Linked DNA regions of Caenorhabditis elegans. The protein of the gene in region 2 interacts with the protein of the main gene of each other region in a pairwise test. Each region holds a gene or a part of one and is shown on either strand. Other genes may lie near its edges. The genes, in order: pbs-7 and fbxl-5.

Evidence for each region.
Region 1: the proteins of fbxl-5 (region 2) and pbs-7 interact in a two-hybrid assay, tested with the Caenorhabditis elegans proteins (2 studies listed by BioGRID).

The regions. Positions count from the first base shown.
Region 1 is NC_003279.8:8,684,146-8,699,966, forward strand, and holds pbs-7 (Proteasome subunit beta), read right to left. Parts: upstream 12,157-15,821; 5' UTR 12,148-12,156; coding exon 12,116-12,147; intron 12,070-12,115; coding exon 11,964-12,069; intron 11,913-11,963; coding exon 11,734-11,912; intron 11,689-11,733; coding exon 11,577-11,688; intron 11,500-11,576; coding exon 11,218-11,499; 3' UTR 11,060-11,217; downstream 1-11,059. Other genes in the region: hot-5 (Homolog of Odr-2 (Two)), read right to left, coding at 237-308, 2,881-2,945; hbs-1 (Tr-type G domain-containing protein), read right to left, coding at 3,660-3,822, 3,902-4,011, 4,060-4,253, 4,303-4,408, 4,451-4,518, 4,566-4,784, 4,841-5,070, 5,122-5,231 and 4 more; mrps-15 (Small ribosomal subunit protein uS15m), read right to left, coding at 6,985-7,137, 7,216-7,365, 7,418-7,582, 7,629-7,699, 7,747-7,966, 8,012-8,100, 8,151-8,214, 8,266-8,346; asg-1 (putative ATP synthase subunit g 1, mitochondrial), read left to right, coding at 8,803-9,027, 9,075-9,245; K07A12.5 (Pre-mRNA-splicing factor SYF2), read right to left, coding at 9,348-9,510, 9,557-9,859, 9,908-10,025, 10,070-10,164, 10,211-10,329, 10,376-10,513, 10,629-10,740, 10,793-10,934 and 1 more; F39H11.1 (Craniofacial development protein 1), read left to right, coding at 12,462-12,560, 12,609-12,841, 12,889-12,933, 13,009-13,171, 13,221-13,355; tlf-1 (TATA box-binding protein-like 1), read right to left, coding at 14,171-14,227, 14,304-14,370, 14,423-14,739, 15,650-15,821.
Region 2 is NC_003283.11:7,739,917-7,756,890, reverse strand, and holds fbxl-5 (F-box domain-containing protein), read right to left. Parts: upstream 8,029-16,974; 5' UTR 8,028-8,028; coding exon 7,876-8,027; intron 7,819-7,875; coding exon 7,528-7,818; intron 6,888-7,527; coding exon 6,749-6,887; intron 6,424-6,748; coding exon 6,238-6,423; intron 5,938-6,237; coding exon 5,698-5,937; 3' UTR 5,523-5,697; downstream 1-5,522. Other genes in the region: gtnt-40 (Glycosyltransferase family 92 protein), read left to right, coding at 3,074-3,358, 3,539-3,624, 3,671-3,855, 3,918-4,168, 4,335-4,732, 4,782-4,947.

The DNA.
Region 1 (15,821 bases), on a different chromosome or scaffold from region 2:
TGAATTTAATATGCTTGAAAATATATGTAAAACACTTTTCAGATCAGAAGTAAATCTTTTTAAAAATCAACTTGTGAAAAAAAACAAAAAACCAATTTAATAAAAATTATGTTTTTATTAGTTTTTTGAAAAGGTTTATGTACAGTAATGAAATATGTCAACAAAATATCTTCATGTTAAAAATTACCAATTATTGTGATAACTTATCATATATTTTGAAATAAAAATGTTAATACCTGACTTTTCTCGATAACGAAGTGTCTTTATCGAAAAGTACTCTGTATTCGAATGAAGCGCAGGAAAAGCATCTGAAAAATTAAGTTGAAGTGTTTTTTCAAACGTTTCGATTCCCTATTTTCTGACGGAAACTCTTACTCATAGCTGTACTAAGCATGAAAATAATGCTTCATTCTATGGAATTTTATAAACATTTCTTGTTTATAAATCAACAAATATTACACCCTCACCACCCAAAGTTCTCCTTCAATAGCTTCTAAGAGAGTAATAGAGAAATATAGGGAAATAAATGGGAAAGGAAAAGTTTGAGAATTTTGGTATTAAATTTCAAATTAGATGATGAAGAAATGTGTTGAAAACTATACAATTTTTGGGCAGCGAAATCTCTATTTACTTGAAAATTGTTAAAATAAAATTTATCAATAACATGATCTTTTTGTAGTATTCAAGTTCCCATTAGATAAACCAAATCGTAAAACCCTCTTTCCTTTTTCTTCTTAAAGTAGGCTGGCTCACTACCTCTTTCTCCACAAACCAGATTCTTTCCCCTTTTTTTTGAAATTTCAATGGATCTTTTGTGAAATGTTTTTAGTAGCAAGAGCGGGATGCCTTATGTAGTACTAAATTTGATTAGGTGCCATCTCATTGTGTATGTACCTGAGGGACTTGTTGTATGGCTCCTTTTTTGGGGAGTCTTCTGCTCAGATTGAATAGAAAAAATGAAGAAAAAACAAAAATGGAAGTTTTAAAAGGGAAACAGTTGATGGTTTCACAACAAAGTTCTATGTTTTTGTGGGACAAACAAAAGTTTGAAAACAGGCGTTTTTATAAACTTTAGTTAAAAGTGGAGTATTATCAGTGGAGCTTTTGTCTACATATGTACATTTATAACAGTTACCCATCAGAGGTGTAATTCAAGCACTAGAAAATTTGAATTCCATGAAAAATTTGACCGTTATGGGGTGGTTTCCAGAAGCTTAACTTGTACTTCGGGGGATAATTGCCAAAAAGGTATTATTTAAGTTTTCAAGCTTTTGATTTACAACCTACACCAAACATCATAATAGAAGACACTCTCAGAAGTTTGAAGTCAAAGTTTTGTAACTTGCAAATTTGTTTGGTCACTTTAAGAATTTGTTTCAATATTTCTCCTGCCAAAATATCATTACACATATTGATATTTTCTTATCAAAAACATTCCCCCAATATCAGAAATTGAGTAAATATTCCAACACGATTTATATTCATTGAATGAATACAAAAGCGTCGTCAAAAGCTGATGACAAATAGTAGACGATTTGGAGAGTATTTGAGAAAACGACAGAAGGATACATTTTTGAATAGTGCCAATCAGGGAGGAAGAGGGAAATCTCTTGTGTCTCTATTTCTATTCTTTTCTTTTAAACAACAACAATAATGGATAATTTGAAGATTTGAATTATGAAATGTCCAAAATTGAAAGCTCCTATTAGAAATGCACACCGGCTAATTTGATTTTACAATCAAATTGAAAACTAACTGAATGTTGAAAATATCACAATTTGTGAGCTTGGCAAAGATAATGTGAAACAAATGTGGAGTAAGAAAAAAATGTTTAAATGGATTTTTAAAAGCTTTTCGATATTTATTTATGTGAAGACAAACAGGGACAGTAACCTAATTTTTTCCAAATTTTTCAGATCGGCTAAAAAAGTGTCCTAAAATTTTCATCTAGAGTTTAAATTATTTGTAAATGATGTGTATTTGATTTTCGCAGCAGTTTGAGCCTGCAGAAAATATTGAAATTTCCCAAAAAATCCAAAAGTTTCAAAAAATTTGATAATTTACAAGCACATTGATTGTAATTTTGAAAATATAAGAATTTGCAGAGCGTTCAATTATGATAATTATGGTAATTTTGGAGCATTTAAACAATATTGTTGAAAATTGGAAATTCTGAAGAAATATTTATTTAGGTCCACAGTCATACAAATTAGTCATACAAGTTGTCTCCTGAAAAGGTGGAGTAACGCCAGTAGTGTGTCAAAAAATAAATATCTCAATAAAACACTCTACAATGAGTTTAGTTTTAAGTTTCGGCAACTTGCCAAATTTTCAAAAAATTTGGACGTTTTTGATAATTTCAAGGTTTTTGTTTGTTCGAATCAAATATAAATAAACAAAATATAAGAATCTTAAAACGCTTATTTTCGGTCGGGCTTCTAAATATGATAAAAACCAACTAATTTGAATTTTTTGACTGTGAATGAAAAGTTTCAAAAATCTTTTGGAAATGCATTTATTACACTGATTAGCCATTTGAGCACCATAAAAGTAATTAGCAAGCTGTTTTCTAGTTGGATCTCTCCACATAGTGATCATGGCAAGTCTCAAAGTTAACTATTTAACATGTTCTTTACATAAAGAAACTGAACGTGTTAGTTTTTAGAACCTAAGTGTTGCACGTTTTTGCGAATGCTAGATACCGTACTTTTTTATTAGTTGTTTAACTACAAACTTATCAAGCTGGATTGAGTGTCATGAGCGTGAGTTTCAACAAGTAAAAGGGATGAAGGAAACTATTTAGACCTAGGGTAAACTAGGTCGGAAATTGTTACGGCAATATGTGTTTTTCTAAGATTACAAGATAAAAGACAAACATACTTTAACAATTCCACAGAACGAATAAAATAGACAAGAATCAGTAATATTGAAGGCAGCTGCCTCATCTTACATCCATCAGTGGTGTTGAGATGGAGACCACGAGAATTTCGGAAAAAAGGCGAAAATGTGGTGGGCGGAGTCAGAGTCAAAGCAACGAAAGAGGAATGAATGAAATGAAGAAATGGAAATAGTGATGATTGTAGACACGCCCCCATGAAATGAGGAAACATCTGTTTTCAGTCATAGTAGGAAAATTAACATATGGAAATGATCAAATTAAACATTTTCGCAAATATTTGATAAATGGGAATGAAATTAAAAATTCCGTGATACAATTTCGTAAAATCTTGAACAATTGTGGTTTGTCACTTAAAATTTAATTCTCAGATAGCCATTCCAATTGCCGAACACTATCTATTAATAGGGAACCATATTTCTCGTTTAAAAATGTTTATGTGTCAATTGAGATTTTTTCAGTGAAATCGATTTGAAGAGTACAGATAATATATTTTTTATTTGTCCCCGTAAGTGTATTTAACTCACGGGTTCTGCAGATACATTGTTTTAATTTTACGTTGTGTGCTTTGCTATTTGAAAATTACTGTTAAAGTTGAACATTAAATTTATTAGCACATACTTAAAAAGAAAGGCCATAGAAATTGGTACATCAAATGAAAAAAAAACAGTGGAATCACAAAGGAATAGAATTGATATTAACTAATGAGAAATAGAAATAAAAAGAGCAAACTATTTGTGACTGGAAAGCAATAAACATATATTTATTGTGGAGTGATCACTTTCTCGACAATTCCAGCTGCAATTGTGTTTCCACCAGCTCGAAAAGTGACTCGTCCAAGAGCTCGGCAACTTGTGAATGTTTCAATTGCGATATCATATTCAGTTTCGATTTCAACAACTGCCGACGCTCCTTTAGCAATAAATCTGGAAATAATTATTTAAACTATTTTCTAAAAAAAATGCGCTTAAAATATTTCTAAATACTCTGTACTACTCTTCTAACCTCGGTCCTTTTTTTAATATTTCTCCATTTGATTTGTTGATTGTATACAGAAGATTGGTGAAAGTACATGGAACACACAAAGAATGTGCATATAACTCGGCTTTGGCACCCTGAAAACAATACGTTTTTAAATTTATATTTGAAATGCAAAAGTATACCTTGATAATAGGCATAGCAATTTCAAAGGCAACCAATCGAACTTCAAACTTTTTCGATGGAATCAGAGTATCTGGACCAGCACGTACAACAACAGAGCCTGTTTGAATGGATTCAGGTTCAAATGTGCCTTGAAGAGTCAATAGAATATAATCTCCAGCAAAGCAGTGCCTTGAACCGTCATTATTTGCGCATTCTAAAAAACTTCGTTCTAATGGAAAATTAGTAATTCGATTTCTACCTACCTTTCACAGTAGCTGCAGTAACACTTGACATTATATATACTTTATCATCTTTTTCCACTTCTCCTGACTCAATTTTACCACTAACGACAAGTTGATTCGATGCAACCTAAATTAAAATATAATACGATATTAAATAACTTCTTCTAACCTTCAAAACATCACTGATTCCAATTCGTAGTGGTCCATCAGAAGGTGGTTGCGGTGCTACGAAACTGTCTGAAAACGTTTAAATTACAAACGATCAGTTTGGTTTTTAAACCAACCAATTAACTCTAATAAACATGGACCATCGTACCAATCTAATTCCATTCGTTTTATTAAATTCTCTCCAGTAAAACCAGAAACTGGAACGAACTTTGGTTTAGAAAAGCCAGCCTGACGAGTTAAAAACACGGAGAGATTATTTTTGATTTCATCGAATCGATCTTGGGACCAATCTACCGTATCCAGTTTATTCACAGCCACAATAAGTTGTGTTACTCCTGAAAATTGTCTCTTGCAGAACCTAAGAATGATATGTTTATATTTTTAAAGATACCTAAACTTCTGAGCAGTAAGGCATGTTCTTTCGTCTGTCCTCCGTTTTCAAATCCTGTTTCAAATTCTCCGGTGGTCGCATTCACAACAAGGATGGCTGCATCAGCTTGTGACGTTCCTGTGATCATATTTGAAATAAAATCTTTATGTCCTGGAGCATCGAGAAGCACGATTCGTCGATGTGAAGTTTCGAAGCTTGTTCTTCCAATGTCCATGGTAACTCCGCGCTCACTAAAACAAAGCTTGGTTGGCTAACAAAAATCAATTTTAATTCCATCTTACCGTTCCTCTTCCGTTTCATCAAGTACCCAGGCATACGCGAAAGAAGCTTTGCCATTTCTAGCCGCTTCATGTTTGAATTTGTCGATTGTACGGCTATCTACCACTTCAAGCTGGAAATATGAGAATTTAGTTAAGTTGAGTGAATCCCACATTTTTTTTAAACGAAAAGGAAAAGTTTTTTTCGCCGAAAACACGAAGAAAGGGAAGAACAAAAAATCTACAACCCTGTTGCCGGTGGGGTTAATTTACTTAAAATGCTTCGAACAAGCCACGAAGTATAAGTTATTAAAAATTAAAAATGTTTTAAGTAACAGTCAAAAAAAGGAAATTCTTTACTGTTGTTGCCATCAGGGCTGTACATTTTTCGGTTTCCGTTTTTTTCCTGCTTTTGAAGAAAATTTATTTTTAGATATTTTCGGAAAAAAAAGAGATCAATAAAGTAACTGACGAATTCTTAAATTTGGCAGTGTTACTATCCAAAAAAAACACTCGAAATTATAACTTGAGTGTTTTTGTCGAGAATACCTTTTTCGTTTCCGGTTTCGGAAAATAATTGTTTTCGGAGTCCGCCCTGATTTTCATTCATCAATAAAACGATTTTAAGGGCTTTAGATTTCAATTACTTTGTAATTATTCGTATTTAATCATTTTCAGGGTTCAAGACTGCAGCAATGCTTGAAACTACTCAACGATAAATAAATGACTGAAAATGTTGAAAAATCTGAAAAGTTTCGAAGTGTGCATTCTTGACACTCACTCATGTTCTACCAAAAATTTTGACGACACTTTCAAAGTTTCAATAACTTACATCATGAAGTAAATGACCCATGAGAGTACTTTTTCCTGCATCGACATGTCCAACGACAATCAAGTTAATTAAATCTTTATCAGCAACTCTTGGTTTTGGTGTTTTTCGGGCAACTGACGGAGCTTTCGCGATGTTCTGCAGTTGATTGCGTCGAAATGATGTTAAATCGACTTCAGAAGATGGGCGGCTCACAGTTGGAGTTGTTGATTCTGCTTGAAGCTGAAAAATTAGTATATATAAGATATAAATAAGATGCGAAATGATGCTTTCAAAGAAAATTCTCGTATTGGATTACGTGATAACTTAAGTTACAGTTGAATTTTTTAAAGTATTCTCGAGCTCACATTTTTAACTTGCGGCGTTCTTTTTGGAGTATTCAAATTGCTAGACGTTTGTGGTGTACTCGGTCGACTATTAAGATTCTTCGGTGGTTTTTGATTTTGATGGAGCAATGGAGCTGTCATATTTCGTACAATAGTAGAAGATAGGGAAGTTGTTGGAGCTGCAGTAGGTGTTGGAGTTGATACAGGTGGATGATACGATGATGATGGAATACCAGGATGTGGAGCAGGAAGAGCTGGTGAATTGCGACCACTATCTGTCAGATATGTATAGTAGTTTGTGGATAATGAATTACGATCATATGTATATTGCTCTGAAAATTTTAATTAATTATTTGAATGAAAAATAAAGTTTTTCTTACTTTCCGGGTTCTCCTCATCTTCATAATCGTCGTAATCGTCGTCATAATCGTCGTCCATTTCTGAAAAGACAAAATTGTTAATCTTCGGTTTCTTTTTTTTGAAGCTTACCATCTTCTAAATTTAAATTTCGAATAGCACGGTGGCGGGACATCTGAAGAACTGTTTTATATTTAATTCGCAAGTTTTCTTTCCCATCGTTCAAATAGATAGAAAGTTTCGGAAGATTTACAACCGATTTAACGAAATCATAATAGAAACATGGAGGGATAATAAATTTTAATTCAATAATAGCATAACAATAATAAGAAAGATCCTACTACAACAAAAAAAATTCTGAACTTCTAAATGAGATTATTTTTCAGTCATAGTTGGTGGTGGATGATAGAAGAGATTTGAATGAATAACAGTTTCAGTAAGTGAAGAGATTAAAGCTGGTTCATACTTTCCAACTGTTTCAAACGATTTTCCTTCGATAACGTCAATTTGGCGCATTTCTTGAGCAAGCTGAAATTTCGTTTGAATTTGAAACGTTTCAGAAATTAGTTTTAAAAAGGGTATTTTCAAAGTGTATATTTTGCTTACTTTATCCAATTCATTATTCAATGCTTTCCTCTTCTCTTGTGTCTCTCTTTTATGCTCTTCAACTTCTTTATCGTACTTTTCGTGCAATTCTTCCAATCGCTTCTCTTTTTCATTTTCAACTCTCAACTTTAATTGTGCTTCGGCCCATGCCTGAAATTTGTTGTTTTTTTAGTGTTTAAAGTTATCAATTTGCAAACTTTACCTTTCTAGTTTTCACATGAGCTGGCTGTTTCGGTACATGATACGAAATTTTCAGAGCGGCAATTGTTTTCTCGAATGCAGTCTCATTACGTTCACGTAAAATACGAAGAGCTTTACGGCGTTCATTGATTACGAGCCAGATTCGATGGGTGAGCCATGTTGGCTTCTGCAATAAATGTTAGAAATATTGCCTTTTTAAAATGTTAAACTACTTTTTTGGTTTCCTGTCCAATGTCATTAACAAGAAGAGACCAATGCCGAATTAAAGCCGTTAGCCAGGCAACTGAAATTAATTTTAGATAATATTTTGTGATTATTTCTCAAACAAACTTTTCATTTCCAAACTATTTTCATCGAGAGAATGCTGCCTTACTGATTTGATAAGACTTTGTTTCCATTCTTGTGACAACTCTTTTCTCGTCGCCATTTCAACACTAAAAATCTTTTTGACAGACTCTGGAGCATTCGAAAGAACATCTAAATCTTCATATTTCGCACGAGTTTTCGATTTTTCAATACGAGGCAATCCGAATTCGGTTTTTTCGAGAATCTGCAAGAATATTGCTTATATCTATAAAACTCTTGATTATCATACCAAATTATCAGCTGCTTTCAAACCCAAATCGCGTTCACTGCCAATTTTTTCGTAGTAAAGCTTCGTAAGTGCATCGATGTAGTTTTGATCTGAAAATCACTTAATAGAGATATATATCTCGGTACTTGAATATACTCACCCAGTGGCAGTTCTCTCGCTTTTTTCTCAAAGTAATCCGGATCTTGCTTGGCTGGGTCGGTGACCTGAAAATGATATATCAAATTGTGGCTAGTTTTGTTTTTTTTTCCACCCACTTTTTGATGAACGTTGTAGAACGCTGTTCTTCCTCGTTCCAGCCGACACGATGTGTGCACAAATCTTCGAAGATTTATCATCTGAAAGTATTATAGAAAATTGAACAAAAATACCGTTCAAAACTGACTTAATATTAATTAATCTAATCATTCATGAAAATTAAAACAAAAAAAATTTCCACGGCGCCTTGGAACTCAATGAGATACGGTTTGTAAAAGTCCGCAAACACCGTGCCGCTCAACTGCGGACAGCCTCGCTGAATTAAAAAAACCAAGGATTTCTTTCTCGATTGCTTAAAGGGTCCCACCACGATTCAAATATACTACTGTCTTGATTAAAACGGGCTGCTTGTATTTTGGGGGATTTTTTTAATGAATGAGCACTCATGGGCAACATTATTCCCTTTCTATTAAGTTTCATTTAAGGAACAAATAAATTTTAATGATCTATTCAATAATTGATTCCCTCGTCTCCCAATTTTATTGCCTTATTAATTTCGAAACACATTCTCTCATTCACACTCGAAATTTTCAGCGATGGCGACCCACAAGCTGAGCTTCTTCGAAAAGTTGGCCAACACCTTTGGAGCTCTTTACCGTCATCAAGCTCAGCAGTTCCCACGCCGTCTCGCTATTCTCAAGGCTGTTGGAAAGCACGAGCTGGCTCCACCCCGGTCTGCTGACATCCCAGCTATCAAGGCGGACTGGGCTAAGCTCCAGAAGTTTATTGAGACCAAGCAATATGTCAACCTTAGTATCAAGGTAATTTGTTACACGCTGAAACAACACTCAATAAAAAATAACTTCAGGAAAGTCTCGTCTACTCGGCAGTTGCCCTCGAGGTAGTCTTTTGGTTCTTTGTCGGAGAAATGATTGGACGTCGCTACATTTTCGGGTACATTGTTCCAGCCAATTATGTCTCGAAGGATACAAAGGCTAAGGTTGCCGAAAAGAAGAGACTCGCTGCCCTCGAAGCTTAATACATCGATAAGCATATTCATTTGTGAAAATATGTGTTTTTTCTTCAACGTTTGTTAGATAAAAGAAATTAAGGCTTTATTTTTCTAGTTCAATACAAAAAATTACAATCCACTAGTTTCTTCTCCAGCCTCTCGAGTGTAATCCTTCCGATCTTCCTCAAAAGTTTCAAGTGCCTTATTTTTCACTGCATACTGTCTTTTCAGAGATCGGCCTTTGAAAACATGAGAAGTGATTGTTGGAGCAAAAATGATTTGATTCGGAGCGCTAAAAATAAAACTCGTTAGAGAAAAATCAGTTTCGAAATTCTTACTCGGTCGCATCATCCTGGCTTATTGAACTTGTAGAGAGGGTTTTATCTACAGATACTTGTTTCTTGTTGAATTCAATAGTACCGTGCAAGGTATTCATGAAAACAGCATTTCTTTCACAACTCTTCTTGTATCTCGCATTAATTGATGCCAAGGACTCGGACATGATGGTGTTTGCTGTGTTGCTAGGTGGTTCTGTTATTCCAGCATGTTTAACTTTCCCCCCAGCAGTCATTGTCTCAATCAACTTTTCAGCAGTAACCGTGTACTTTCCCTCTGGATCATCGTCCAACGTCATATCCTCTCTGAAATTCAAATATTAAGATCCAACGGATGCAAGCCACGAAAATTACTCTTCGTCTTTTGCCATCCAATAAATCATCTTTCCTTTCTTCAATTGCGAACGGGAAATCGGTTGTTGATACCAACTGGCTGGGAACAGGGCTCTTTTGTCGTCAGTGGTATTCACAACTGAAAATAAACACTCCGATTTCTGTATTGTTTCGTAGTTTTACCGAATTTCTCCATCGGGGCTGTTGGCTCTAAAACTTCTTTTTGCTCCATTGTTTCCACTTTTGTTTGCTTGGGATCGACAGGGGCAGCGTATAAGCTAAAATATGATAATTTCTACATAAAACCATTCGACCCATTGAAACCTTTTCATCTGATCGTACTCTGCTTGGGACTTTTTTATGTTGTCCTGTTTATCTTTCCTTTGCTCCAAACTGATTTTCTGTTTCTTACGAAGAGCGTCCAGTTCCTTTTCACGAGCTGCCTAAAGTTCATGGTTAAAGTAAATTTCTCTATAATCTCTATGTTACGTGATCACGAATCGACACAAACTTTTTTTGTGGAGCCAAAGTGGATAAGTAGTATTCTTTCAATCGTCCAAATTCTACATCAACTTTCACTCCTTGACGATTGACAACCGTATTGGCTCGTTGCATCTTTGGATGGCGCTGAATTTCAAGAAATAATGTATTTCTTTTTAACTTTTTAGATGGATAGTAAAAACCGTAATTAAGCACTTCCTTTGCGCGGCGAGATATATATATATATATACTGTATGCTTACCACGTCTGAATTTTTCGATTTCGAAACGTATTGAGACTGCGTATGAAAGATTTCAACTACTTGCTCCTTTCGAAATTCTTCCCAATTTTTCAGTTGTTTCTGAGCATCCTTCCTGGAAACCAAATCAGATAAGTTATTACATATACATCAATTTATTTAATTACTTGTGAGTTTCATACTGATCATCACTCAGTTTATACCGCTGCTGCATCTTCTTTTTGTAGCTCATCTTCTTCGCCTGTTTCTTTTCATAATCAGATTTCTGTTTATCAGGCGATGGTGATAAACTGAGCTTTTGGAGTTTACCTGAAAGCGCTCGATTTTACTTTAAACCAAAAACTCATCATACTTTTTAAACCAGAGAAATTCATGCTCGCTATTTTTGACTCGAGCACTTGTGAAATGATGCGTGTGAATACTTAGACGTGAATAGAAGGATTAAATGGAAGTTTATTTATCGACTTCACGCGAAAATAAATAAAATTTACACCGAAAACGTGGGTTGGAGAGAGTAAAATGTTTTGAAAAGAAGGATACAAATAAGTTAAACATGGAGATACTGAAACGCATCCTGCACACCGGGGAAAACTTATTCATATTGACAGTTAGTCTCGGCAATCGACCAGTCACCAATAATCTTCTCTTCTTTACCCAAAACGACACCTTCTGTCGCATCAACACGTCCGATTTCGAACTCATTGTCAGCGACGCAGTCGTGGTAGAGAGTAAGTTCAAGCGATTTGCGAAGCACGGCTTCTGCCTCTTCACGGGAGAGGTCTTCTCCCTTCTTTCTCCACTCATCTTCAACAGCTTGGTTGAGGAGGAACGCTCCAAGTCCAGTTGCAATGTGCTTCACTTGATATGCGCATCCCTGAAATTTAGAATAATTATTATGTGATTATTTAATCATGAGATTCTGATCCGGCAAGTTAACGCTTTCAAGTTTACCTTCTGAGTAATGACACCGATGAAAGGTGTGCTAGTCTCCTTGTTGTTCTTCTCCTCCTCTTCGACTCCGGCGACAACAAGTGTGTTCCACACTGGGTTCATCTTGCAACGTCTGAAATTTTTTACTTAAACTTTCAATTTAATTAGGAAAACAGACTTGGCGTAGAGAAGGCTTGTGAGGTATCCGTGGAGAGCTTTTGGTCCAATATCCTGATCGAAGCGCTTCCAGAGAAGAACCTGACGCTCGATCACATTTTGAAGCCAGTGGAAGTCAGCGTGATCTCCTCCGAAGGCAATGAGAACATTATCATTGACCTTGTATTGACGAGAAACATTCTGGAAACAAATATTATGAAAATCCACTTTCAGCTGAACGGAAATTCAAACCTTGTAACGAGCCATTTTTCCATAGGAAACAACTCGATCAGTAAGGACAACAACCCCAGTTTTATACTGGAGAGCGATAACCGATGTTCCGGTACAAGTAGGATTCCTGAAAAATTGAGTTAATTCAAACGAATATAGGTTTAATGACTTACAGTGTGCGCTGGACTTCGTCGTGAGCATTCATTTTGGTTCTGAAACAATATAAATGAAGTTTTTGAAGGGAGTGCTTTGAAAAAATGAAAGGAAGTGAATTTCGACAATGAAATGCAAAAATGGCGGCTAAGTCATCATAAAGCATGTGCGCTCCGTCGAATTTTACACTGAATACCACGCACAATTGCGTACTTCAATAAGAAAAATTATCTCGCGCTACTTTTTTTGAGATAATATTATAATATAAATTAATTCATATTTTATAAATATATTAATTCATATTTTATTCTTTTGAATTCTCACTGAAATTGTGAAACTATTTAAAATATAAATTGTTTCAGAAAAATGACCTCGGAGCTTAAAAATAACGAAGAAGACTACAACTCATCGTCCGATGAAGATTACGATCCAACAAAGGATACCGATTTTGATCCAAAGGATGAAGTAAGCATTCCTAGATATCGCCCTTTTATTGCTCATTCTCCTCAACAGATCGATGATCAAGAAGAATGCGAAGATGGAATTGACGAAGAAGTTGAACATCTGAAAAATGAAAAACAAAGTGACGACCATACATCAGAAAAGGCAAACAGTACTGAAGGAAGTGTTGATGTGGATGCGATATTTGCAGAATTAACTGGGCTAGCACCGAAACCAGTTGTCAACGATACATCAAGCAAGAATATTCCAAAAACTGAAGAAAGGGTGTATCCAAAATCAGCAGCGTATGTTTGAAACAAGTAGAAATAACTTTTAAAAATGTATTTTACAGATCTGCATCCAACGAGTCTACAAATCAGAAGGTTTATCCGAAAAAGTGAGTTGACATGAGTTTTTATTTGATACAAATTTAAAAACAACTTTTTCTTATTTTTCTAATAATTTTTTTCAGAACGGAAACAGCTGGAACATCGTCTGAAAGTAGCATTGTACCCGGAAAGAAAAGAGTCGGCTTGCTTGATGCTGCAAAATCACTGTCGAAGCGTTCTAAAATTTCTGTTTTGGAGAAATCTGATCGAGATTGGAAAGATTTTACGACGCAAAATAATTTAAAAGTATGTTTCTTTAAGTTTAAGGTTTTTGAATAAATTGTTTGTTTTTCAGGAAGATTTGGAATCTCATAACCGAGGGAAAGGCGGTTATCTGAACAAAATGGACTTCTTAAACCGAGCTGATAATCGCCAGTTTGAAAAAGAACGAGCGTTCCGTGCAACAGCTCGTAAGGACACTGGACAGTAAATAATTCTTTATTTTTTCAATTGAATCTTTTTTGTGATTTTCTGGTTTCTTTGACAATTCGTAACTTTGAAAAATTCATAAACCTTCTGTAAAGATACGGACATTGAAATTTAATCATGAACATATTTAATGGACAAAAACGAGAAAAATGGTAAAGGGAGACAATAACTAAATCTAGAAAAAGGATGAATCATGAAAAGGGAATTGTAGAAAAATCACATTCTAAAATAATTAAAATGAAATACAACAACTTTGGGAAAAGGTAGGTTACAGTTTTATAATACGAACTCGTTTGTTTTTAAGGACTTTTTGTGGAATTTTTGCGAATTGTTTCAGAACAAAAAAAAATCTGCTACTTGTTTTTAAAACTGGGATTCATGAGGAAAAATAGATAATGGAAAATAAGGAAAAATTAAGATTTGCTGGGCTTGAGGGGAACATGATGAAGACATGAAGTAGAGAGCACATAGTGGGATGTGGAGAGAGAAAGAGCTAGAAGGAAGCGAGAATTGTTTTTCTGATCATTGTGTTAATTTTACAAAAAAATGGATAGGAGATTGTGTTGATTCGATGATGACTTATGATGTTGATGATGGTAACGGCAAACAGAGAAAGAAAAGAACAGGAAAAAAGCGGATAAAGCATGAATTTTGAAGCACACAGAACAATTGAAAGAACAAGATATACTGGAAGATAGAAAGCTAAAACTAGAGAAATTATGACGAGATGATGTAGAAAGGTAATCAGATAATGATTGCAAATTGAGATTTTTTAAAAATTACAATGAATGGGTAGGCTGCATCAATTAGGTACAACTATTCTTCTAAATCGAGCTCATCATACAGATCTTCATCTTCATCAGAGAAATAGACCTGAAAGAAAAATGTGTTATTTTAAAATTAAATTTGTATTATTTTCAAACCACCGAAACACTTTTTATTTGCATACCTGGTTATTGATAACTCCAGAATTTCTATAATTGCTGTCATCAAAGCGTTCGCGTTTGATTGGTGGTCTAAAAAATTATTTTATTTTTACATTGAAGCCAGAATTTTACAAATTTTTACCCTCTGTTAACAGGTGCCTTTCGTTTCCTCTTCTTCTGAGCAGCGACATTTCCTTTGGCTCGTTCGAGACATCGGAATTCTAGAACAATTGGATAGATCTTTGAGAGTACTTCGAGAACATCGGCTTCCGATTGAGCTCCAGTGACTGTAATTGAGCCAGTCGTATGAATTCGAAGAGTAGCTTTTGGTGTCACAGATCTCCAAACAAGACCAACGGAAAGTTCAGGCTCATATGTGGATTCTGATGGATATTTTGCTGCGACTTCTTCGATTTTGATTCCGAATGGAAGACGGCACGTGGCCAGAACGTTGTTCACCTAAATTCCACATAAACTTAATAATTAGATAAATATTTTAAAGTTGCAAAATTTTATGGTATTGACAAACACACAAAAACGGTATCGCGCGTGGTGTCAGAATGTCCCATCACAGTCTGATCTACAAAAAATGAAACGTGACGTAGAGTTTCCAACTGGTGTCGCACGGTTAAGAATGTGCTGACGTCACACTTTTCTGAGCAAAAATACCCGCACTTATTGTAGATCACACCGTGATGGGACAACCTGACTCTACGTGGTATCGTAATTTTTTTTTTCAAATTTTGAAATGGCTCTTTAAAGGCTCACGACTTTCTTCAGATGGGTCTCGACGCGCAAAAAGTTTATTGTAGTCTTTTTCTTCAATGTTTGCGTTTTTCAATGAAACTGCACGGTTTTCAGCTTTAAAAAAAAATTCTGTTAAAAAATCTGTTTCCAAATGGGGGCACCACGGTTTCAAGATCTGGTGGATTCCGGTTCTACGTTTTCCAGATCTGGCACCAAAACGTAGATCCGGAACCCCACCAGATCTTGAAACCGTGGTGCCTCTCCAAATGTTCAAACTTCAAAAAAAAAAGAAAGATTACCATAAACATTTTGCGTGCCGAGACCTTTCTGAATAAATCCGTGCGCCTTTAAAAAGGCATGTAAAAATCTGGTGAAACTACGATACACGGTCAAATAATTTTAGTACACTAGTTTGCACGACTGACATTTTTACACTTTTCTTCAATTTAATTTAAATTTACAAGTAATAACTTTAACAAAAATGAAACATCTTTAAAAGAAAAAAAAACAAATCGGAAATGGCGGAAGCTACTGTACTTCTTGAAGGCGAACTTTTTTTAAATATTTTTTTTTTAATAGATAAATTTTTTTAATAGATAAATTGAAACTTTTCAAAACTTGCTCGATAATTTCTAATCGAAACTCGTTCTTTCGTTTTTCCCATAACTCGCTGAACATGTCTGGCAATTGAACGTGCAGCTCGTTTACAATCCGCCTCACTCCGGCAACCAACAATATATACTTTTCCAGAACTATATACTTTGATATAACAACCAGGCGATCTTTTTTGTTTC
Region 2 (16,974 bases):
TGAGCAAGTATTTGTATTCATTCATGCTTTTCGGAGATCTTAATACGACGAGAATGATCAGCAGCAAGTTCATAAATATCGATGAAATTGTGGAAATTTTGTGAAAAGTGGTTTGAATTAACCGGCATTCAATGCCATTCATTTTTGAGTAAACGAAATAATATCTGTTAGAACCAAAATTTTGTGTTGTAGACAATTAGATGATCTCATGGGATATGTATGTCATTATTGTTATTACATTCACATTAACCAACTGTTTTTGTGATATTAGGCAAACAGAAGTACAGGGTGCGCCAAAAGTATCATAACGCGACGACTTCCAAAAAAAAAAATGATAAAAACCGAGTTTTCACATCTTTTTTTTTGACTAGAAATAAAAAATTGCAAAAATCATTTAAAGAAGTTTTGTTATTACATTTGGCAATTTTAGCGCCACAGGAATGAATTTTAATCTCTCCCTCACTTGCCGTACTTTACATTTCGAATGGAGCATTGGAAAAAATACATCTTCTAATGAGGTGTAGGCGTCCGTTGCCTTCTGGCTATTCAAATTTCAGAAAATCGACAAAGGTCAGTAATTACCACCGGGAACTGTAAGATTTCTGAATATTTTTGAGTACATAATGTTTCATAACCACATGTATCTAGACATAGACTATTCTGCAATTAATCATTGAAACTTTAGGTAAAATGTGATAACACGAGCATCGTATACATATTTACAATGATAACAGCAGCTCTGATTAGACCTAGGTCTGCGCTCAGTTCAAATTGTTTCTATGTTGAGTTGCACTATTTGTTACTACTAATTCTAGAAAAATAAAGAATTTATTGAAAACTTGAAACTTTAAATGTGTAAATTCATTATGTTGCTTTTTTCCAAGCCTTCTTTTTTCATGACTCACATCTTAATATGGTTGTGTGAAGTGGCTTGGAAAAAAGCAACATTACTCAAATAAAATGTTTTTCAAAAATCGAGCTGTCCTTCCTTGTCTGAATGAAAAAAAACGGTTCACGCCACATACAAAAACACACTGGCCAGCTTTTATTATGTGGCTGCAGAGAAAGTCAAATTCACACAACCATATTAAGATGTGAGTCATGAAAAAAGAAAACATCTTCATATTGAACAATATCCTGGAAACTTTAAAAAGAACATTGTGTTGAAAATTTTCAGTTTCAGTCAAAGGTCTTCATGTTTAAGTTTCGAACGTTTGCTTGATTTAATCAAGTTTTCTAGCAAAGAGTAGTTCCTGCTTTTATCTGAAAATACCAGATTTATTTAGAACTAAAACAATGAAAAATCAATTCCAAATTTGCAGTGCAAAATACGTTGCTCCCATCAAAGCTTTATGGCGTCGTAAAAGCTTAAAATATACAAATGAACTCACCCTGATAACACTCAAGACACACCTTTCTGTTTCTGATGTATTTATTTTTACACACGTTCAAGCTAGTATCTGTTTTTTATTTTTTAAATTGTGTTCTTAATTTTGTTCTTAAAAGTTTGAAATGATGCCTGAAAAATTAGAAAATTATTATAGTTAATTTGAGGTGCAAACATGAGGTTTATGAGCAAAATCTATTGCATGTTGCCTTAAATTTATTTTTACCGAAAAATATAATCGGCTCAGGAAGACTCTTTGAAAATTGGTTCCCATGGATTAAAGCTCACTTTTATGAGTCGAGTTTTAAATTAATTTAATTATCGTCAATGTTTTAAAAATACTATAATTACTACAAAAGTTTGACTCTAAAAAGGTATTTTGCAGAAATATATTCTAGAAGAACTAACTAATTAATTTCTGAAGGATTTTCACAAAATTCAGACTACAAGTATTAAAAAAAAACAGAATTTAATGAAATATATATTTTGAACACTTCCTCAATCTTATACCTTCCCCGTTTTTTCTCCTTAGCAACTCCGAGCAAACCAGAGACATCACGAACGTTTCTTTATTTGCAAACTTTAACAATTCTTTGAAAATTGAAAAAAAACACACCTTTCACAGTTTTCTATATTAAAATAAAATGATCAAAACAAACAATTGGAATACTTTTGTACTCGATCATGTATAATCATCATCATGTATATTCATGTATATATTCATGTGCATATTTATATTCATGTATATTTATCAGATTTTACAAGAGTACCTCAAATTTTATGATTTATAAATGTTTGAATATTTGTGGCTACACACCCATATGATTGTCATTTCAGAAAGTTCTGAATCAAACTACATCAGTCATGGAAACTTTTGACGCAATCTCCAATAGTAGTCATATTTTCTGCATTTCTGTATTTTATTAAAAACTGATTCATTTTATTTTGACCACACCCTTTTTCTTATTAATTTTTTTCCAGAAAAGTTTTTGAGGTTTACTTAAAAAATGGTAGCTTCTATTTTACAAAAAAAAAGTCTAATCATTAATCAAAATTATATTTATACGCGTCAGTTTAATTCCAAATAAAATTTTGTAAATAAAACATTTTCAGACAAACATTTTGTTGCGACTTTGAGTTAGTCGAAAAAATTTCATTAATTCAAGAACAAAAGTGTAATCTCCATACTTTTTCGAATTTTTCTCTTCAAAAATGAGATTTCGCGTTTCAAACGTATTAACTCTCTGAAAATCTTGGAAAAAATCATACCCTTACATTACCACGCTCTCCAGAGGTCGAAAAAAAGGACACGCGGAGGTCATATGTGAGCAAAGGTAATTCAAATGCCAAAGTTTTCTGAGGCCATGTGGAATTTGATTTTTTTTCAAATTGATAATTTTTTGAAAATTTGTTCCCTTGTGGAAGTTTATTTTTTCTTCGTTTTTTTATAGCTTTTATCGTTAATTCTCTTTTAAAATTGAACTTTGTAAACTTTTGAAACATTTTTTCTGCAGCGAAAATATTTGTTTCACAGTGAAGATATTTTACTCTCAGTCCAGATCAAATAAAATAATTCTGGCATGTGCCAATATTTTCGTCGTAGGAAGGATGTAATTTTCATTTTTTCTCAAAAGTTCCATTTTTTAAACCTCAAAGTACCGCATAATTTAATTTGAAATCTTTCAGATGCAGAGGATATATCAATTCATACTAATAATCATTTTATTATTATTATTAGTCTTTGACATATTTACCAACAAGCCAGAATTATTTCCAAGTTCTCGAATTTCACCATGCTACACGGAATCGTCACCAACGAGCGGAAAACTGGAATCAAATGCTGAAAAATCAGAAAAATTAATAAATGTGCCATCAACACTGGATTTGTCAAACAAATCATATTTTATTGATGGATTCGATCGGTTTGACTGGTATCAATTTCAATTGTTTAGAAAAACAAATGACAGACCGGTAAGTTTTTTTTAAAATTTCGTGAAGATTCAGTTGTTTTTAAGATGGTTTTTTTAATCTTCTTAAAAACATCTGATTAAAAAAGGGTTACCAAAGCTCTACAATTTTAGCCAGCCCTTTCATATGCATAATATTTTTTTAATAATTTGTGTGAAACCTCAAAATTTTCACGTATTCCAGAAAACAGCCAGCAACATCAGCACGCTGTATGCATATGAATTTGAGCACGAAATTACTGTTACAACAACTTCTTGGAAACGTATGGGGTGAGATTTCAATTTTAGATCATATCTCACTATCAGATAATTCCAGACATCGCGTCTACTGTCGTTACCTTGATGATAACAATATCGAAATTGGAATCCCATTTGAAAGTCTCACGTATCCAGAGTATATTGTCAGCTGTAAAAAGAGAGACGGCACTAAGAAAATTGGGTTAAGTGTCGAAAAGAATGGAGACTTTTTTCCATTACCAATTATTGATAGAATGCTGAAAAGTGAGTTTTATCTACAATTTTTAACGATTTGAAAAAAAAAAAAAAAACTTTGTAAACTTTAGAACCAAAATACGAACTCTCCATGTGTGTTGCATCCATTTACGGCGATGAACCAAAATGGTTGATGTTTATCGAAATGATAGAGCATTTCAAGTTACAAGGTGTCCAACACTTTTACCTTCATATCCATCATGCTTCCGAATATGATATGAGAGTGATTAATGATTATGTGAGAACGGGAGAAGTTGAAGTACACTATCTTATCGAAAGGGATATGCGGGCTGATAACCATTGGCATATGGTTAATCTTGCGGTGAGTTTTTTTTTTCTGAAATGATAGAAGTTAGAAATAGTTGTGTCACATGCATAAGTATTGTGCCAAGTAATTTGTGATAGTAGATCTTGCATGCACACAGGAAGAAGATTCAAGAAAAAATATACCGATTACTTTCAATTTTTGATACTGTCCAATGTTTCAGGACTGCTTAATATGGTCCCGCGGAGAGACAAAATGGACCATCTTCGCTGATCTAGACGAACGAATCTACATGACAAACTATACGGGAACAATTTTGGATTACGTCCAGGTCGTCAAAAATGAAAGTATTGCGAGTATTCAATTCAGACAGCAATGGATAATGAAAACTGAACTGATGCCACCAAAATATGAAGGTGATCGACAGTTGGACAAATGGATGCCAACTCATCGATGGCATAGTTCGAGTGGAATTGGTCCACCGGGACATACTGCAAAATGTATTGTTGATACATCGAAAGTGTTCATCATGTTTATTCATTACGTAACACAATTTTTCCCTGCGACGAATGGTTCGAATTATGTGCAAATTCGTGTTGATCCGGAAGAAGGACTTGTTAGGTAAAGCACAATTGTAACTATTAACTTGTCCAAAAGTCTATTTTTTCAGACATTACCGTGATCTGTCTCTTGGAGATTGGGGACGAAAATGGCTGAATTCAACTCTGAAATTTGGTGCTCTACGAGACACTGACTATCCAAGTGCATTTCTTGGAAAACTGACGGAAAACGTGAAACGGAGAGCAAAATACGTTTATGACAATTACTATGATTGATGATTATGGATAATTTATTGTGCTAGATAAATAATTTTTTAGTATAGTTCCAATTGATCTCAAAACGTGTTTATTTTTTCACTTGTCGTGTTTTAATATCAAAGTTTACTGGTCTTCGTTAGCATTTCACTGATTGTGAAAACAGTTAATTTAAAATTATGTTTAATAAAAAATGATTCGAATAAATTTTACTATTTCAATTGAAAATTTCGAATTTTTGCGCAGAATATGCACGATAACATGGTATCTTTTAAAAAATGTTAAATTTTTATGTTCTTAACCAATTAATTGTAAAAAATTTTAAAGAATATTATTCAGCTTTCAATATTAAAAAATGTTGGGTTCCCTAACAATGACGCACACTGCAGTAGCTACAGTACTGTAGTTGTAAATTGAGATATAAAATCTTACTGTTAGATTTTAACATGCAATTTATAACTACTAGATCATAAAAATTTTTTGATGATGGCAGATTTGTCGTTGTTTCATGTGTTATGTATCTTGTTACTTGTGGGTTCCAATTTCCGGTGATACACTTTTTTGTAAAAGTTTGAACGAAATGTGCAAGACAAAGTGCAATTTGAAAAAATTTCATAGTTTTGAGTTCAATAAATAAATTCACTATCAAAAATTCAAAAAAGAAATAACGGAAATGTGACGGATAAAACCCGCGTAAAGCAAAATGGAAAGTGTCTGGAAATTTCAAAATAAAAAGAAAATTTGTTAACATAAAACAATTTTACAAAAAAATTAGGGTGATATCGCCACAGAGTGTGGACCAATTGGAAAAGGTGCTGGAATGAAAAATTGAAGGCAGAACTTGCCACGGCTTAGACTGATTTTTCGGGAACGAAAGTCGTCGGTCACCTTGAAATCAAGTCCCGGGCACAGGATAAAAGTGAGGAGTGAAGTTTCAGACTGTGATGGTTCTAGAAGAAGTCCGAAATCCAAGTCCATTTTGTTAGGCGTTGAAGCAGTCGAGAGTGCTCTCTGAAAACAGGAAAAATAATGAAAGGAATAATTAAAGACTATATTTAAGGAGTTTTTTCCCATAGCGATAAATTTCCCTACAAGAATTAATTCTGAAACACTAAAGTAAGCAACCTTTCAAACAAATTACGAAAACTTTTTCGGTGCGGAGGTTGACATTTTTGTGGCTACGTGTCAAGTTTAAAAAGTTAAAATCCTGGAAAAAAATAGCCATAAAGCTCCAAATTGGGGGCCAAACTTTCTCATTTTGTGTCCAAATAGAAATACTTCTCCCATTTCATATTACAATCTTAAACTTACAGTCATTAAATGCCTAATTCCATCCACTGTTATTCGACTTGCACACCCATTTCTGAACTGGATTGTGTTTGGCGCTGTTGTCCGTGTAGCCCAGTGAATTAGTGTTTGATCAGTAACTTCGTTGAGAAAACAAGGATATCTTGGTTGAATTTGAATTGTTTCCAAGTGAGTTAGAGACATCAGCACCTGAAAATTGTACAAATGATGGTGGGTTCATCATCACTCCAACTTCTTCAATCTAATATTGTTTAAAAATGTATCCATGAATATTTTTGGTTTTCGAACTATTGAGGTCTGCATGAGGTATGCAGGTAGGCAATTGAGATAACGTGATTGAAGGTTTATTAAATTCTTATGGACTAATTGAATATTATTATTACTTCTAAATATTTAATGAACAAAAATAATTAGTTAACAAATTAACTCTGAGTGTTCTTTCAAACGCGAGTGTTCCCAATTTCTAGGAAACTTTGTCAAAATCTGATCTTTTTTTTTGCAAAAAAATCCTTACCTTGTCAGAGATCAATGACGGATGAAATGTGCAGAAATCAATGTATAGATGCTTGATGGTCATTCGAGACAGCAAGTCCATGAATTGTGTCCATGAGAGTCGGATATGACACAGTGACAGCGCCAGCGTGGTGACATGTCTGTAACGATCAAGTTGGCTTGTTGACACGTGTCAAAAAGTCAAAAAAGTCAAAAATGTATATATAATATTTCAGTTTCTTTTTCCTCCCACTTCTCCTCTAGGCACACACTTTTCTTGTTTGACATTTTCGACATTTTGATGTGTGTCTGTGGGGTTGTCCAATAGAAATGAAGGGAGGCAGAGAAACGAAATAATGACAGTTTGGCTACCTTCTGACGGTTTACAGTAATACATTTGGGACAGTTTGGCATTTTTGAAGAGTCATCGGGTGATTTAGAAACTTTTTTTTGCAAGATATTATTACAAAAAGAGCTACATAATATATCCAACGACATAAGAAAAAATTGCAGCATAGTTGGAGCAAAAAAATGTGCCGTTAAAAATTATTTTACAAAACTACTGTACTTATTCGCAAGATGATCAGTGAAATTGGTCAGATATTGAACTATTCAATTTGAAGTTGTTTGCTCGTTTTTACTTAATGGTGAGCCGTTTATGGAATTTCTGAATTTTCAACTAGCCAAAAAAACCAGAAACTCGTGTGGAACGATGCAGGCGAAGAAGTGCTCTAAAAGGCAGGCAGGGATTTTTAGATACTTTTTATTTTAAAAGTTTATAATTTCAAAAAAAAAACCAACCTCAACGCCTCCTTCTTCGCTGTGAGCATTTTGTAAAACTCTTCGTCCAACGTAACTCCATCAAAGGAAAGCTTCTCCTGTAACTCGACTTTTCTCAAATTCTCCTGCACAAACGAATTCGCGGATTCTGATGAGGTTGAGCGTGACGGATCTTCGATTCTCTCTGATCTTTTCACACCACGATCCCTTCTCATCGTGACTACAACACGTCTTTTTGGAGCATTCGACGTGGATCCTAGACGAAGACGACCGATTTTTGAAGGTGATATTGGTGAGACACGAGATTCCACGCTGAAAAATTGAATACTGTCATTGAAAAAGTTTAGAAAGTGATGTTTTCTAACTCACCAAAACTCTTTGACACGAGGTTTTCCTAGATTAAAAGTGTCCACAATTTGATGAAATCGTTTGTTTAGCCGTTTTGCACGAGCCACATCATTCGGGGAGGCGGTATTCAGAAGGCGGATGAGCACATCGTCAGGCATGCTACTGAGATCCATTCTGGAAATTTGAAAGGTAACAATTTTAATTGGAAAAGTTCTAGTGATAAAAATACGGATAAGAACAATACGAGGGTAGGAGAAATTTAAAAAAAATAGAGTACGTTTTCATAAAATGTTGTGGGCTGGCCCAACTCTGTAGAAAATTTTCGAAAAAGTTTGCCCTGGGTTTTGTAGCTGAAGGACCGATTCAATTAACAGTTTCATATATCACAAAAATTGTGCTAAATACGTGCTAAACTGTAAAAAAAGAAAGTATATATCAATTTGGCAAACTGACAATCCGGAAGTTTTTTGCAGGAAAATAAAAGTGACAAGAAATGCAAAAAATTCAGATGAGAGAATGGAACAGGTGAATGACATGTGTGAAGAACCAGAGAGATTCGAGACGAAAAATGATTTAAAAGTAGGCTCCGCCTCCCCACCAAATTTTCCTGTCGACCAATCTGGGTCTCTTCGCAGATATCCGAGAAGACAGGCATACCGGAAGTGGGAAGATTGTGCTACAGATGATGAACGCATCACTATTATGTGTCAATTAACATGTCAAATTTACAGATGAGAATAGGAAGACAAGAGGGATGATGACAAGATACGGAGCAGGACAAAAAAGACGTCACTTGAAAACGAATCAGCCATCCCCCTTAAATAGGCGCACAAATTGGCAGGTCCACGGGAGAAAACAGCTGGTTTGACTGGCGTAGTGCATGTTTGCGGACAGAAGACATCATGGAAATGACAATCCGCTTATCATATATTGTTGCAGTTGGGAATAAAAAAGTAACGGAAGGTGCCAATTTGTCTGGTCAGCAGATGAAGAAATCACCCCGGGTGTCAATAAGGGAATATGGTGACGGACGGTTCTGTTGGTTTAACCAGTTATGGAATCTATTGAGAGAGAGAAATTAGATGGCATAGTAAGATTAGGATGAGTGAAAGAAAAAAAGTAGGACGGATGTGACAAATTAGCTTACTGTTTGGGAAGATGATTTGGGAGATTTGGGAAAAATGTAAACTGAGTTTAGGTTCCGGTTTCTAGAAATTTTAAGTTTCAGTTCTAATAGTCTTGAAATATAGCTAGACAATTTGAAATTTACTCTAAAACTTTGATGGAAATATGCTAAACAACCAAGTTATGGGCTTTTGACTTTTAATGTATAGTTTGGCGCCTTTAATGCCGTTTTAAAACCAATTTAGTACGGCTTGCCCGTAAGAATCAAAATAAAAAAGAATCAGAATCTCAAAACATTTAAGTAGGCCATCAGCGCATATGGGATTTACATGTGAGCCACTAGAATTTCAAAATGTTAATAATTATTCTGGAAATAAGATTTCCAGCAAATTGACGCAAACATTTGAAAAATGAAGAAGTCATGAGTATCTGACAGAGATTTAGCCGAATATAAAAAAAGCTTCTCGTAGAAGTTTGGCAGATATCTCAACTTCGACCCGTTTGTCAATTTGCCAATCTACTTCAAACCGACACGCTGGTCCTTTTCAAAGAGTGATTGAAGCTTACGAGTTTAGAAAACAGAGCATTATATGAAAGAGATTTACATTTCAATCATTTGAACGAGACAGGTCAACTCGGACACAAAAAAGTGACAATCTGCCGAAAATCTGTGTGTATGTAAGCTCCGGTGATGGCGGTGTAGGGCTCTCGGAGCAAAAGGTTCTCTCCCCCGTCAAAATGAGCGATGCCTGGACGTTTTTTTCCGTGCCCGCGGTGCGTTTCAGAATGAATATGTTTGAAAAAGGAGGAGAAGGCAAGGAAGGAGAAAGCAGAAATAGAGGAGGATAGCGGTAAGTACTTGAAAGTTTTGAATGACACACAAAGCGCAGATAAATTTGAATGACTGGAGCAGTTATCCGACATAAGCTGTCAAAAATGTGACAGTGATCTAGAAGGATCTATCTTCAAGGTTGATCTAAAAGGCTTACAGCCCTGATAACTAGATTGGTGGGCAAGCTGAGCAGAAAAATTAGGCTGAAATGAAATTTAAGATTTGCACTAAATTCGCGGATCTAGGCTAATAATTAGGTGAACTAAGTGTAAGCTGATGCTTAATCAGAAGCATAAACAGAAGACTAAGCAGGATCCTGAACCTAATCCTGAATCTAATCCTAAAACCCACCTATGACTGCGTAAGGCTAAGCTCAAGCCCAAGCCGCAACCTCATGAAGTCCTAGCAGTTTGAAGTCCTTGCCTAAGTCTGAACGTAAGCCTATTTCCAAGACTCAGCCTACAGCTAAGCCTAAACTCAAGCCCAAAATTAGCATTAAACCAGAACCTGAGCTAAGGCCTAAACAAATCCAGATCAATTTTTTTTTTGAAAAAACCAAGTAGGCGTTACACAGAAAATGTCCCCTAATACGTCTTGACGCCATCTTCATAAAATGTGGTTATATATTTCCACTTTAAATATTCATAGAAAATTAACAGCTACACTGCAAAAATAAGGATCCTCTGGGAAATCAGTTTAACCCAGAATAATGTCATTCTGATCAGTCATTTCAGCGAATAAATGTGCCTTGTCTACTTTTCCCCGAGGTGTGGTTCTTTCAGTAGATGGCGCGGGCCTCGTCGCAACGACGGACTGTCAATCTCCGTCAGCACTTCATCCATCTCGACACTAATATAACTGTCGCCGCCAATCGACGTCTCTTCTCTCACCGGTGACACTCTCATCGTCGCGCTCTCTCCAAGGATCCCATACTCGAAACGTCGGCGTCTCTTCATCTTACGCGCTCTTCCCGCGAGACTTTTAGCTGTCGTCGACTCGGCCGTGTGTCCGAGGCTTGTCACTCATAATTCGGGCCCACCCGTCCGTCCGTCCCCCGTCCCCTTGTCCAGTGAAGTGTGTGTCTGCAAAGGGTGTGCGCACACACATTCTGACACTCTGAGAGAAGGCTCTCAGAAGCTTGTAATTGAAACTCAAGTACTAAGCCATCAATATCAATAATGACATCTGAAGATGTTCCGCTTCAACAATTCATCAGAGAGAAGGAGTTGATCGGTCCGTCAGAAAAGGGCAAAAGTGAAGAGGAGTAGACAAAATAAAGGGTACTAAAATAGTATTATAAATGGGGAAATGTGTTGGTGCTTAAAGTTGATAACTAATCAAGAAATATAAACTGATCTGCTTCTTGAAAACATGTGTCTTAAAAATTGATGGAACATTTTCAAAAAATTCAAAAAATATATTCAAATGTGAATACCAAATAAAGGGCGCAGATTTTTGTGGTTGTTACGTTTACATTCAACAAAAAATTTTCCGAAATTTTAAATTTAAATGAATCTACAGGAAACACTGTTTTGAAGCAAAAATTATCGTTATGACTGGAAGTAGAATTTCAAAAAGACTTATTTTTAGAAGGGTACGGAGAAAAAATGTGAAATTTTTATGTTTTATCAAATAAATGCAAATAAATAACTGCTCATGTTAAAACCTAAGACGATCTACAATCAGAAAGACAAAAAAGTTCCAAAAACCTACAGTATCACTAACAGCATCTTAAGATTTTCGGGCGGTCCGTCACCATCTCCAACCTTGTAATTTTCCGCTTGATTTGGCACCATATGGGTCGACTTGGACAAAAACCCGGTACCCATAGAAGCGGAAAATTTTTGGCGCGACCGAAAGATAACAACACACAGTCACCTTGGCAAGATAGAAGACGGGGGAGGAGGGGGAAGACGTTCGTGGCGTACTAGAATTTGTCATCAGTTCTCTTAAAAGAAGGGGGATAATCAATCGGGTGGCAACAATGTGCATTGACAACAATGCATTTTAGAAACGTTTAAATTTTTTCGGGATGGGAATAATACGGAAGGGTGGTAGTGGGGAGTTTTTGGAAAATTAAGAAACAATTAATTAGTTAACTCACTATTTTAATTCACCACTTTATAAGCCAGAAGACTTTTGTATTTATTTGAAATTTGTGAAGTGAAAAGACTGCCATTGGCTCCGTTTTTGCCGCAAAATTTTTAATGACTTTATTTTATTTTAGTGAAATTATAAGCAACATATTTTCCGTGTTGGCACTGAGCCAATACTTAATTGACAGTCAGTCATTTGCATAAAATGTCAATATCAGAAAAATTTCAGTTATTTGGAGTTAGAATTATTCTAGACATATATTTGTTTTATTAAGAAAGGGAGGGAACTCTATTTTTTAAGCAAGCACCTCTTTACACAATTATTTCAAAATTTTGATTTTTTAAAGGAAACATGTTTTTATAGAACGGGATTACTGATATTTGAGTATCTAGCCTGCAAATTCCAGAAAAATTTCGTTAAAAATTTTTAAAGAAGAACATTTCAAATAGGATCTAAATTTGGTGATACGAAAATCCGTATAACGGCAACAAGTTTTACAAAAATGAGAGGCTAAACTAAATTTGATTGATATACAAAATTGCTACAACACTATTTGTTCGGTTGAATAAATTACTAAAGAGCCCTCCTAAGCTTGCATGCAGAACAGTGATAAGAAGAACAAACGGGGTATAGTGCATGTATCATCATCGTTCACGAGACCACCTTTATATGCATGTATTTGCGGGAAAGTGCATTCAGAATAATTGACAGGTGGTCGACATTGTCAGTTTCGGTGCCGGCCGGTGCCTGCCGCCGCCTCAAGACCCGACTGATAACAATTTTTGAGCCATCATCGGAATTGTCGAAAAGTGACAGAAGGCGGAGGTAACAGTTTCCAGATGATACAGCAGGAGGCACCCCCATTAAGGAAAAGTCATAAAAGTTGTTGGCGGTACTGTATCTCTAACCAAGATCTGACCGAACAGCAAGCAGTAAAAACGAATGATGGCATTGTCTTTGTTGCGTGCGCAGGAAATCAGACAGAATTACCAGAAGCAAATGGTAATGAGCAGATGGCGGTGACAGGTAGCTACAAAAAATTGGGCAAAAAAAGTTGGTTGCGCAAGTGAAAAGGGAGACTAATTGGAGAAGTGTCCGCAAGCCAAAGGGACTCAAGAATCCCGCCCACCTGGTATTATCTCAAGAGCATTGTGTGCACACCGAACAGGTGAAAGGGCTCTTGTACTAATCAAATGCAAATAGTTGAGAATATGGACATAGAGAATAATTCAAATGGCAAAATGAGTCTTATTACGGGTTGTAAATCTCAATTTGGATCGCACCTATGAGTTGACAGAGGTGCTAAAAATTGAAGAGGAGACCGAGGTGAGAATTCCTGCCTGCCTATCGACTATTTTCTGAATACTGTCTGGCAATCACAGAGTGTAATTTAAACATTTCTTAATTTGAAGGTAGAGTTTTGCAATGGGAGAAATCGTTTAAAATCAGACGTATGGAACTAAAAAACCAAATTTCATAGCAAAAATTTTCTGGAGAAATTATCGAAATTAAAAAAAAAAGTGTATGATTTTTTTTGAATTATGCCAATTTACCAAAAGATGCTGCAAATTTAATTTTTTCTAAATTTTTTCTTTCTCTCATCTAAATCTTCAATGACGATACTCCGCCATTAATTAATTCGTTGGAGTTCAGCTAAAAACGGAACGTCGATAGGCGATAGGAGTTCTTGAAAACAGCAAATAACTGTGGAAAGCTCACCCTTTCTAATACGAGAAAAATTGTAAGAGATTGTTAGGAACACAGGTTTAGTTCCGATATATTTTTCCACATTTGAAATCATAGGTGTTACAACTTTTAGGTAATCCTAACTACAAGAAAAGACCCAGGAAAAAGCCCCCAGCTTAACAAAAATTGAAACTTATTGTCTAAACATATTTAGGCCGTTAGACCTAATTTAAATTCATGAATATATTCACGACAAACAAAAACTGAAAAAAAAATAACTTACGTGCTACAACATCCAAAAACATCGTCGTCAATCAGATATTGACCACATCTGAACATCTGCTCATTCACCTTGACTCAACGAGTAAAGAAAGTCAGAACAGAAGGTGAGAACTCCACACGCACCCTCAAACATAGTCTTTTATTTCAGACCTTATCGGTCCCTCTTTGACGTATTCGGGCTCTTTCACTGCCACAGTTTTTTTTGCACACCAACTGTTTTATGACCCACAAACGTAGGTTTAATGGGTTTACACGAGGGTCTAGAGAAATGCAGAGCAGTCGATTTCGTTTTTTTGTTCGTTTCAGAGGTTTTTTGTGATAGATTTGATGGACATTTTCATTTAAAAATAGTTTGCCGAGTGATTGGCAGTTGCAGAGGAATAATAGGGAAGTGATAATTTTGAAATTGTTTTCATTTTAAAAAACGTTTGAGTTTTATCAGCTAAAATGAAAACGGAATTGCTTGTTTGGTTTTACACTTCAACGTTTTTTAATGATTCAACTTTATAGATAATGTCGCTTACTGGGATCTTTTCCTCTACGGATATAATCTCCAGTAGAGTTCTTCCGATTGTCGCCAATTTGCATTGAAGTAAACATTCAAATAATTCAAAAAAAATTTAGAAAAAAAGTAATTTAATTCAATTAAAAAATATCTTAGATTACCGTTTCAAAAAAAGTTACAAAATGTTTTCCCAGGCAATAATTCTTAGAAAACACCGAAAAAAACGGGGTATGAGTTGTTAAACACGTATTGCAAAAAAAAAAGAAGAATGAGAATAAATTATAAGTTTTTGAAAAAAAAGCCACTACATTAATATAACATGCACCATATCCGGTAAGACCACAAGAGCCACCTGTACGTCTATTGTAAATCATGCCGTCACAATTCATCACCTGCCAAGTTGCATCATATCGGCTCTAATAAGAGGGAAGGAGAGAGAGAGAGAGTGTGTGGCGTAATACTGTAGAATTAGTAGACAACTAATGAAATTACAAAGGGAACCAGTTTTTCTTTGAGACTAATCCAGAAAGTGATAAAATTTGGTATTCGAAAAATCAGTCATATGGCCGTGACCGTTGAGGTTTTACAGAAGAAGAGGGTATTAACCGGAACCGTATAATAAAATGAGTCCCTGCCGCATGAAAACGAATGTAGGTGAATGAAAGGAAATAAAGAAATAACAAAGAAACGGGGGACAATATTAGTTAAACTTCTGGGTTAGGAGGCGCATTCGAAGCCCATAAAATTGTTGAAATATGGTCGATGGTTAAGGAAAGGGACTAGGTTTTCAACGTTTTTGGGTGGGTGCGGCTACTGCCTGGACACTCATTCAATAAATCAGTTATAAGATGATTGGCACGTCACCAAAAATGGAAGAGGAAGAGATGGTGGATAAAAAAAGACGGGCGCTCCAAGGTTGGCGCCATGAGCTCTCAAGGGTGTCTGAATAGTTGATTGACTGGGTGACACGTTGATTTTAGAAATGGACGACAGAATTTGAAGATTTGAAAATTTCCTGCAGTTTGGAAGTGTAAGTCTTTGCGAATAGTCTAAATTTTCTTTCGACATTTTTTCTGACATTTTACCAAATACAATTTTCAATTGTGTACTTTCAAATGACTATCTAAAAAAGGTTCATATTTTTTACTTGCTTTCAACAGTTCAGCAAGATTAGAAAAAATCATAGAAAGTGAGTTTCAATTGTACTGATTAAGCAAAAATGAGCTGGACAGATATCTGGGAATAGAAAAATTATTTACTTTTGACTTATTTTCTGCACTCACCTTTGTACTACCTTCAACGCCTCTATTCAAAAAAATGAACAAATTATTTCCGCCAAATGACAAAAAAACCCACAGATGTCGTCGGCGGAAGTAGGCAGTTTTTAAACCTTTCTTCCGATCATCATCGTCATCATCAGAAGCTCCCCATATGTTTCTAAGTATCGTATTTCGCGCATTCATTTCATCGGCTCCTCCTCCCCCTCTATCGTCCGTCCACCGGCTCCTCTTTTTATCCCCCCTCTGCTCGTTTCACCCGATGTTCGTTCTCTTTTTCTCTTCGAATCACAAACTATTCACACTCTTCTACCCCCTCGCATTCGACATATTCTCGGTGATGTGGTGGTTGTAACTGAAATGCGACACATAAAAACCCAGACGGCGCTTTTGAGCTTCGCCGACGCCACAAAACCTCTGGAGAAAGAACGGCAGGAAGGAGGGTAAAGTACCATTTTATGAGAGGATATAAAAACATTCGCAAAGTCCAATAACAACACTTGGATAGTGGTGAAAGCGAAAATCACTGGGTTTTTTAGAAGCGCAAGTATTGAAAATGTAGGGAGCTCGAGAAGCAAGCCTAACAACAAGAAGTGCTGAGAAAAATATAAATTTATTCAAAAATACAGTCCGGTATTAAATTAATTTATCGTGACGATAAGCATTTGAATAAATCCGTGCGCCTTCTTTAACGTCAAGTTGTAAAACTGCGATGAGGCACACCGGATCTCAGGGCGACAAAATTTACATTAGTTATTAAAACGTCTTTTCAGCTGCAGATAAATAAAACATCGAGAAACCAAAGATAAATCTCGAGAATCTCGAAATGAATGGTTATTGGACAAACCTCTTTTTTAATTTGAATGTTCCTCAAAAGTTTAGTAGGTTGAGAAAAACAAAATTAGTTTTCTATATATCTTTCTTTTGAAAAAGACTATTTGAAAACTCGAGACGATGGAGAAATCTCAATCACATTCGAGAAGGTCGTACGCTAATTGGAAAACAAATTGAAATCATCACACTCTTTCGGTCAACTTCTGTGTTGAGAACGAAGCCTTCGAAACCCGATTTTCCTCATTCATTTTACGGTCTCGGGATGAACGAGGGATGATGATGAGAATGAGAGTGGCGTAATACGATTAGGTAAGTGCCACTTTTTGAGTATTTATGCGTACCAAAGAGGCCGCTGATGGAGTGCCGAGGAAAAGATTATTGACCTGGGAACCCAGAGGTATGCAGTATCTGAGAGTGAAAAGGTTTATGACTTTATGATGGTGAGGAATTGGATTACAGGAAGCATATGAGCCATCGGAGAA